Linked DNA regions of Mus musculus. Each later gene encodes a partner of the first gene's protein in a complex. Links are inferred from orthologs where the notes say so. Each region holds a gene or a part of one and is shown in the gene's direction. Other genes may lie near its edges. The genes, in order: Prpf40a and Sf1.

Evidence for each region.
Region 2: the proteins of Prpf40a (region 1) and Sf1 are in contact, whole or in part, in an NMR structure (PDB 8PXX), measured with the Homo sapiens proteins. The link is inferred for Mus musculus from reciprocal best matches to the Homo sapiens genes PRPF40A and SF1. Residues at the interface, in NP_001352526.1 of Homo sapiens: His164, Ser166, Tyr172, Tyr174, Ser181, Thr182, Trp183, Tyr213, Tyr215, Ser222, Arg223, Trp224; in NP_004621.2 of Homo sapiens: Pro575, Pro576, Leu577, Pro578, Pro579, Gly580, Ala581, Pro582, Pro586, Pro587, Pro588, Pro589, Pro590.

Annotation. Positions count from the first base shown.
Region 1 is NC_000068.7:53,188,406-53,193,007, reverse strand, and holds the start of Prpf40a (pre-mRNA-processing factor 40 homolog A), read left to right. Parts: upstream 1-1,775; coding exon 1,776-1,985; intron 1,986-2,907; coding exon 2,908-3,039; intron 3,040-4,480; exon of another isoform or gene 4,481-4,560; intron 4,561-4,602. Other genes in the region: Arl6ip6 (ADP-ribosylation factor-like protein 6-interacting protein 6), read right to left, coding at 486-885.
Region 2 is NC_000085.6:6,362,259-6,366,716, forward strand, and holds the start of Sf1 (splicing factor 1), read left to right. Parts: upstream 1-1,431; 5' UTR 1,432-1,829; coding exon 1,830-1,860; intron 1,861-2,261; exon of another isoform or gene 2,262-2,448; intron 2,449-3,405; coding exon 3,406-3,534; intron 3,535-4,458. UniProt on the Homo sapiens protein: Necessary for the ATP-dependent first step of spliceosome assembly. Binds to the intron branch point sequence (BPS) 5'-UACUAAC-3' of the pre-mRNA. May act as transcription repressor.

The DNA of each region.
Region 1 (4,602 bases):
GTTTGGTCTACAAAGTGAGTTCCAGGACAGCCAGGTCTATACAGAGAAACCCTGTCTCAAAAAAGAAAAAAAGAAAGAAAGAGAGAGAGAGAGAGAAAAGTAGAAACTTGGGATGGGGTGGGGGTGGGGATCCTTGTCCTAGGTTCAGAGAACAGTGCAAACCCAGCATGTCTCTTAACATCAGCCTTAGGACGTACAGCAGTACTTTCTTACACGTACTTTTTTGATCCTTTTAAAAGTAAGGGGCTCTGCTGTTTCAACTCAAAGTGTTCAATGCCTTTACGGCATTAAAGACTGTAGATTTAGCCAAAGATCTTTTCTAAATGGGTCTCATGACGGAGCAAGGACGTCCATCTAGGGAGAGAAGACAAAAGGGACGATAGCAGTCTCGAGGGAACGCTTTGGGAGGAGAGTGTGAATGGGGGCGTGTGATGTACTGGCTGCACTTTACGCTGGACAGCCTTTCAAGGCCTGGGCTTCAATACCTTTAACGATCATGTAGGCGATGGCGAGAAGGAAAGCAAGGAGGACGGCGAACAGCAGCGAACAGAGAATGGAAAGGGCTTGGATGGGCCACCGCCGAGCCTGGGTTCGCTTGGCCGCAGTGGCCGGGAAGATGCCGTTGCGCTTATCCGGCAGGACCGGAGACCCGTCCCCGACCCGGGGGAGTAGCGGGGCCCTCTTGGTCTCCGACGACGCCCTGGCTGAGAACTCTGCCCGCAAGTCGCGGGCCACTTGGTCGCATCCCTCGTCTTCGTCGCCTTCGCCCTCACCCCAGCTGTCCCCCTGAGTGTAGTCGGAATACCCGGGCCGAGTCGCAGGGCCTGGGGTAACCTGACGGCGCCTCCGCGCGCCCGCAAACCTCCAACTCTCCACGAACGACATGGCGGGAAAGACTGAGAGTCCCGCGAAGGTCGGCTGTCCACCACCGCCACGCCCCGCCCCGGCTACAGCCAATCAGAGACGGCCGTCGGCGGACCCAACCACCGCGCGCAGAACCGTAGGGGAGTGCAAGAGCGGGTTACCCGGGGACTCCGCTTCCGGAGGCGCCGTGGGAGCGCGCGCCCATGGCCCGCCGCGACAACACTCTCATTTATTCCACCCTTTCGGGTCCTGTGGGCACGCACCTCTCGAGCCCCATGACCGCAGTTCCGCGCCTTCCTAACCGCCAGTCGCTTCCTCCCTCGGGCGAGAGATCTCTGTCTTTACCGCTCCCCGCCAGATACAGTTCGCGCCTCCGCCCTTCACTATGCCGGGCGCGCGCGCAGCTCTCGAGTTTCTCCCCCCCACCCCCAAAGGCACGACCCCCTCCCCAGGGCAACCGCGCGCGCGCGCACTAGGCCGCTAACGCCGGGTGCCGCTTCCCCCGCCCCACCCCCACCCCACCCCTGGTGGCCTCAGGTTTGTGGGGCGAACGTAACTAGGGCGAGGGGCTGGACGCCACTGCCCCACCCCCCGACGGGGTGCGGTGGCCCGAACCCGGGAATCTGGGTCCCCGCCGTGTCCCCTTTCCTGGGGGAAGTTGGTAGAGTTTCCCCGGCAGAGCACTCGACGCAGAAACTTCCTCCGTCCCCCCTCCCCCCCCCTCCATGCAGGCGACGCCGAGCGAGGCAGGGGGCGAATCGCCGCAGAGCTGCCTGTCGGTCTCGCGCTCTGATTGGACAGTAGGGAAGCCTGTCAGTTTATTGGCCCCGCTGATCCCGCCCCGCAGCTCAGGGCAGCCTTTACCCTTTGGCCCCGGCGGGCGCCAGCCACTCAGATCGCTTCTTGTTGGTATGTGCAGCGGCAGTGGCCGCCGACGGAGCAGTCTGAGCCCGACGATGAGGCCGGGGACTGGAGCCGAGCGTGGAGGCCTCATGGTGAGTGAAATGGAGAGCCAACCTCCCTCGCGGGGTCCCGGGGACGGGGAGCGGAGATTGTCCGGCTCAAACCTGTGCTCCAGTTCTTGGGTCTCTGCTGACGGCTTCCTGAGGAGACGGCCCTCGGTAAGGGATCGGCGGGGTAGGGGAAAGCGGCACAATGAAAAACCGAGTCAGAGAAACAGGAAGCTCTCTCCAAACGGAGAAGAGCATATCAGGAAGAGAGCTGCAGATGGTGGGCTACGTCCCAAGGGGGAGAGATGGAGGGCGGGAACACACAAAGAAATAGGTGGGACCTTGGACTTGCCAGTGGTCTTGGCCTAGGTAGATAGATGCCTTAGGAAGAAGGAAGGTGCTGGGCCCCGGGCGGACTGTGCATCTGAGAGCCCCAGGCTTGACTTACAGTAGGGACACTTAAGTCTGTGGGACTTAAGGAGCGGCTGCTGCGGTCTTATTTCTCCGGGAGTGGTGGTGATTTGCAGGGCTTGGGGGATTCGGTTGGGAGAATTGGCTGCGGATACTTAGTTTCAAGCCAGGAACAATGGAAGTATTATATTTTAAGCTCCCTAAAACGGCATGAATTTGTTAGTGTCTGGGACAGTTTAACTCTATTAAAACATTTGTGAAGTACTCTTGGGTACCCGCACTCTGTTTTAGGTCTTGTCCATATGAATGTAATTTTAAGTAGTATAAGCTGGTTATGTGTATAAAGGTGACGGAAGTTGTGTTCATCGTAATAATTTTTTAAGTTGGAATTCAATACATAGTCACCAAGTCTGACCAGTCATTTAACAGTTTGTTAAGTCATTGGAGAGGGGTTGTAATCCGCTAATGGGTTTAACTTTTCCATTATTTTGTAAATTTTCAGGCCCCATCTAATAATCACTGTAGTGTAATTAAGATTAACTTCAGTATATGCTAATACTGTAATTTAATCACAGTGATTTAATATTGTGCCTTAATTGATGGGTTTTAGTTGTTGTTTTTGAAATGACATTTTAAAGAAGCATTTAACTGTCTCTCACTCTCCCTTTTTATTATTTTTCAGATGGGGCATCCTGGCATGCATTATGCACCAATGGGCATGCACCCTATGGGTCAGAGAGCAAACATGCCTCCTGTACCTCATGGAATGATGCCACAGATGATGCCCCCTATGGGAGGGCCTCCAATGGGACAAGTAAGAAGACGCTTTCCCTTTGGCTTGCTTAGTTTTGTTTGAGTGTGTCGAGATGTATTTAAGATGTAAGTCAGTGGTGTACTTGCAGCCCTTTAAAGGTTAGTTTATATCCACGTAATGTCTTCAAACAAGACAAAACATTACATTGCTCATGTCTGTAACCAAATTTTGAATGTAGTAAGACTGTATGAGAAAAAATTAACTGACTTCCTCAACAAAATTAAGCTTTAAAAAAAATAAGCCGGCTGTGGTGGCGCACGCCTTTGATCCCAGCACTTGGGAGGCAGTGGCAGTTAGATCTCTGAGTTCAAGGCCAGCCTGGATCTATAGACTGAGTTCCAAGACAGAGAAACCCTATCTGGAAAACCAAGCAAATAATTTAAAGTGAGAGTATACATCTAATCTATTTAACTTAGTGACTTTATTTCAGGCATTATAATTATTAATGGTCTAGGAGTAAATATATATCAGAAGATAATCGTGGTGAATGTGTAAAGCCTAGCATCAGAAAAATAGTAGTTACTTGGGGTTTTCATGTAGAATGAATTTTATTCTTGGAGTATCTTCCTCTTGTTTGGGGTGCGGAGGGATTTTCTGCTCTATTACTAATTCTTTCCTGGACAGTGCCAAATAGGTAGCTCATTTTCTACTTAATTTTTGAATGATAATTGCTTCTATACTCCTACTTGTGCGTTGCCCCTTGAATCTCTAGCACAAATCGTAAATGGACGTTTTTTCGTAGGAGTGATTGGATTAAAAGGTTTTAAGATGACTCAGGAACACGGGTAGAATTTCTAGAGAAGTGGTCAAGAAAGACAAGAGCTTGAGGTGCATCAACAGTTCTGTCCTATGCTAGGTTCTATATAATACACTGATTCTTAGGTGGGCTGGGTTATTCCAGTTGAATATCTTGATAAGTCATGAAATTTTTGATTAGCAGAATATTTTAGAAAGCCAGTTGTATATTTTCTTTTGCTAATGAGTACTATTGAGTTTGACGATGGTTTGAGCAATGAAGGCTAAAGTTACTGGTGAAATTACAGGGGGAAACAGGAACTTGTGTTTTTTTGTTTGTTTGCTTTTTTTATTTTAAAGAGTAGAATGGCTCAGTGTTAAGTGGTTTTCTTTTATATTTGGAATATAGCCCTTAATTTTGGATAAGAAAATTGTATTCAAAGGCACCAAACTGAAAAGATTCTGCCTGCAGGAGTTCCTTATAGAAAAGATTCTTTTGCTCTGTTACTCTCGAATAATAATACTTTAAAACTCCCTAGGATATGCAGAGACAACTCTTGATTCTTTTTCTGTATCTTTCCATCTCTAAGCAGCACAAAACCCTTCTTGTTTTCTTGGTAGAGCTGCTCTAACTAGATAATGAGCTTTAAAAAATATTTATTCTCTAATGCTCTGGTTCTTATTTAAAATTAGTTTCTTTCCACAGAAAGATAAAATAAAACAATTTGCTACTGCCAGACGCTTCTCTCTTTTCTGGGGCCTTCTGTGTCCATTGGGCCAGGCAAGGTAAGTTTGCAAGGGGTTGGCCTGCTTACCCTTGCTGTCCCG
Region 2 (4,458 bases), on another chromosome or scaffold:
CCGAGCTGGCCCCTCCTCTGCTTAGGTTGATAGGTTTCTTGGGTATTACAGTTGGCTTTTCTACTTTCACATGTCTGCTGATGTAATCTGGGAGTTACATGTGCTAGGTTCTACCACTCAATTGTATTTTCTGCCCAGACATTTGCTCTTTCTCTGTTCTATGGCCATTTCCTCCCTACCTGTCATAGTCTGTTGACTTGTACCATCCACCATACTTGAGTTTCTTATCTTTGTAGTCTCTTTATTCCTAGATTACTCCAAACCTTCTGTTGTCTACATGTCTACTTTTCTACATCATTTTAAAAGATTACTTAGTCTTATGTATATGGGTGTTTTGTCTGCATATAAGTCTGTGCACCATATATATGCAGTGCCTGTGAGGCCAGAAGAGGGTTCTGATATCCTGGGACTGAAGTTACGGATGGTTGTGAGTCACCATTTAGGTTCTAGGAATCCAACCTGGGACTCTGGAAGAGTAGCCAGTGCCTGGTCTTATCTGCTATTTCTCTAGCCACTCTAATTACATATTAAACACTGTTTCCCCTACTGGGTCTAAATAACCTCTCTGTGAGAACCCTATCTATCCCCAGTTCTATTATGTTGTGCTAACCTGTTTCATTACTCTCATGTTTATTTCATGGGAAGGAATGTTTGGCCTCAGTCTCATTTACAAGTTCCCTACCATTTTTATGGGTAATTTTAAGGTACCCGAAACAAATTTCCAACGCATTGAGATTTCCCTGGAAGTGCACACTTTTAGACTAACTTTTGAAATGACTTTCTCTCCCCTCTCCAAGAAGGACTTGGAGCGCCTGACTTTTCCTTTACAAGAGTTAGTATGTGCCATTGAACCTGGATTTTTTGAGACAGATATACTGTACCCCAGGTTAGCCCCAAACTCATGTCAGCTCTCCTGTCTCAGCCTTTCAAGTTCTCGGGTGACAGGCTACTTGGCTACCTTGTACCGGAATGAAATAAAGTCTTTAAATACACCCACCAACTACCCTAGTTTTGAGCCATTTCGTAACACTATTTTTCAGAGAAAACAGGAAGTCTTTCTCTACTCTACCTGCAGCTTCGACGTATCCTGTTCGTCAGCTCGAGCCCGCCCCTTCGCCGCGGTCCCTAGTTACCTCTAGCACAATGACTAACGTCACTTAAGGCCTCCGTTCCGCCCCTCTGGGGAAGGGGGCGGGGACACGCGTGCCCTCCCTACGCATGCGCACCCCTGCTCTCCGCCTTGGTTCCGGCTTCTCCTCCCGGCTTTCTCCATTCTCGAGCGGCTGGCTCCTGGGGGAGGGGAATCGTTTCAGCCAATCGTGTGGCACTACGACGCCGAGGCGCTTACCTCCATCGGTTTCAGCCAATGAGCTAGCCGTTCTCTCACGTCACAGACTTTGCCCCCTCCTATTCCCCTGCCACTCTGGCCTCAGTCCGCGCAGTAACAAGGAGTGCGCGCTGCGACACCTCCCAGTTCCCCCGGCCCCGCCGCCATTTCGTCGCCGGGCCTAACGGTTCGGCCAATCCCGACCCATATTGAAAAGAGCCAGTGCTCCACCAATCGGAGGCCGCTGCCTCCGACCTCACCTCGGGCCGGCCCAATCCAGGCCGCGGCCCCTCCGCCCCGAGCCCGCCCCCGCGGCGTCCTTTCTCCTCCCTCTTTGTGCGTCTGGCGCCGCCGCCGCCCGCCGCGTGAGAGGACGGGCTCCCCGCGCTCTTCAGCCGCGTAGTCGGGTCCCCTCCCCCCCACCTCCAGCTCCCGGAAGGTTCGTGAAGGAGAAGTCGCCGCGGAGGACGAGGAACCGCTGCTGCCGGTCCCCTGGGGCGCCATGGCGACCGGAGCGAACGCCACGCCGCTGGGTAAGCTGGGCCTACCAGGCCTTTCCCCACTTCCTGGGCCCAGAGGCAGCTTCAAGCCCAGCCTATTGGCGCTCGGGACGCCGCTGCCGGGGGCCCTAACCACGGCCTTGTCCTTAGCGGCGGTGCCGTCACCGCCGCCGCCCCCGGCCTCGTACCCGCCATAGCAGCCGCCCCCGCGCCGCCGCCGCTCTTTTCAGCGAGGGTCGCCTCCGCGCCAGGACCAGCAGCCGGGCCAGCCCGGTGGCGGCGGAGGTGAGTCGGGCCGATAGAGCGCGAGAGTCGTCGGGCGAACCGAACCGGCCGACGGAGGGGCAACGCCACCGCGGTTGGACGCGGCGAGGACGCGCGCGCGCGCACGGGAGGCCCGGGCGGACGCGCCACGGGGAACGCGCGGCCTGGTTTGGGAGGCTTCGATTGCGCACGCGCACCGCGAGAACCAGAAGGGCGGGAGGAAGCGTTCTTCGCGCAGACGCAGTGAGGCGTTCAGGCTTTGTGGCGCAATTGTGGTAGTTTTGGAAGAAGCCACCTGTTGCCCCCTGAGCTCCTGCTATGGAGGACAGGAGAGTCAGGTCCACGGGACGACGTGGTGTGAGTGGCTCCCTTGATGGTTTTTAGCAGCCCCGTGGCAGGAGTGTCTCCTTTCACAGTGAGGCGAGTTCGGAAGGCTACTAGGGATGCTTGAGTTCGATCATTTATTAAAGGTTTTCTCCTTTTGTTTTCTAGAAGGTTCTCAGAGTGACCAGCTTTCCCCGTGCTGTTTTAAAAGGCTTTTTCTCTGGGCCTGTAATCTGAGAAGTAGAAAACCTTGTGTGGTAAATGTAGGGAAGAATGTAATAAATCAGAGTTCTGATGACAAGTGTCCACTGGTCAGGAAAACTGATCTTTCCACGAGTAAGAATGGTCATATTGAAGGATGGCATGTTTCCCACAGTAATGTGTAGCAAGAGATTTGTTGTGTACTCTTGTAGCTTGAGTTCCAATGCTTTGTGGGCCTCATTCCAGTTTCCTCTTTTCTGCCCTTTAAGGCATTCAGAATTGATAATATGTATCTGTACACTTCTGATTCTGGGTTTCTGTGCATTAAGTCTTGGAAGCAAGGGCATGATGGTTCATGCTTTTAATCCTAGCACTCTGGAGGCAGAGGAAGGTGGGGCTTTGAGTTTGATGCCAGTCTACATAGTTTAAGACTGCCAGGGTTCTCTAAAGGGACTTCTGTCTCAAAAAACAAACAAAAGATCCAAAGAGTTGGAGATATGCATCAGTGGTAGAGCTCTTACCCAATATATGCAAAAACTCTGATGTTAACACTACAAAAGAAATGTGTTCCTTGTTACATTCTCTAGTATTTTCGTTTTAAAAGAACTAAATGTGAACTGTTCCTTAACTTTCCTGACAGGAGGATCTTTAAAATGGCTGCTTGTTTTCTCTGACCTCTGAGATTTCTTTCTTTTTAAAAATTTAGGTGATTTCAGTTTAGTTTTAATTATCATGAACTGCTTGCCTTCTGGTTCATATTTCTGCCTGATGGGCTCTGTCTGTCTTTAGACTTCCCAAGTAAGAAGAGGAAGAGGAGCCGATGGAACCAAGACACAATGGAGCAGAAGACAGTGATTCCAGGCATGCCTACAGTTATACCCCCTGGACTGACTCGGGAACAGGAAAGAGCTTACATAGGTAAATACACGTTCTACATCCAGGTGCATCTTCAGATTGTTACTGCAGATTGTTCTGAGTGATGAACCTGTTGAAAGTCTTAAGATTTTAGTCATGGGAACAAGGTGTGATGAGCTATGCTTTCATAGCTGTGTAATCCGTGATTTGCTTGGCCAGTCCTGCATTTGCAGCTTCTTGTTTGGGCCTGCTCTTAGCTCGGCAGCCCCCTTCTCAGCTGCTGTTCTTGCTCATTGGTGAGGTGAATGCTATCTTCCTCTCTGGACAGGCCCCAGTGGAGAACACTGCAGGTATTGTAAACCAGTTGCTTTTTTGTAGCATGGCCTTTCACCATAATGTCATGGTTCCCTTTCCCTAAAATTGTGGTTTCGTTTTTTTATAGGTACAAAATAGTTTAAGCAAAAAGTGGCTCGGAAAGCATTTATAGTTTACCCATTTTGTTGAATTTAATCCTTCCCTTCAGTATCCTTTCTTGTTCCATCTTTAGAGAGCTGTCTTAAAACAGGCTCTTGTAATTTACCACTAAAGGACTCTGCTGGGAAGGGTTTACTGTTTGATTTGAAATGAAGTGGTGGCAGAATTTAAAAAATTAGGTTACTGTCCACAGTAGAATTAAACCTCAAAATTACTTAAAATCCAAGGTCATAATAAATGGAAGTTTTATATCTGTCCTGCTGTCTCAAAAAGTGCACTTGATAAACATTTTCAACTAACCAAGTAAACATCCTCTTTGGGGCAGAAACCTCGTTGGGTCCATTGAGCTGTGTCCTTCTCAGACAGCTTCAAGGCTAAGGTGCTCTGAGTCTGGAGGTCTTCATTTCCTGGTTCTTAGATTGCTGAGGATTTTGAGGCGTGGAATTGTCTGCTTCTCACAGTACTTACTACTAATCCTACTTTCTCCTGCTGTTTACTCTCACCTAAGCCTTG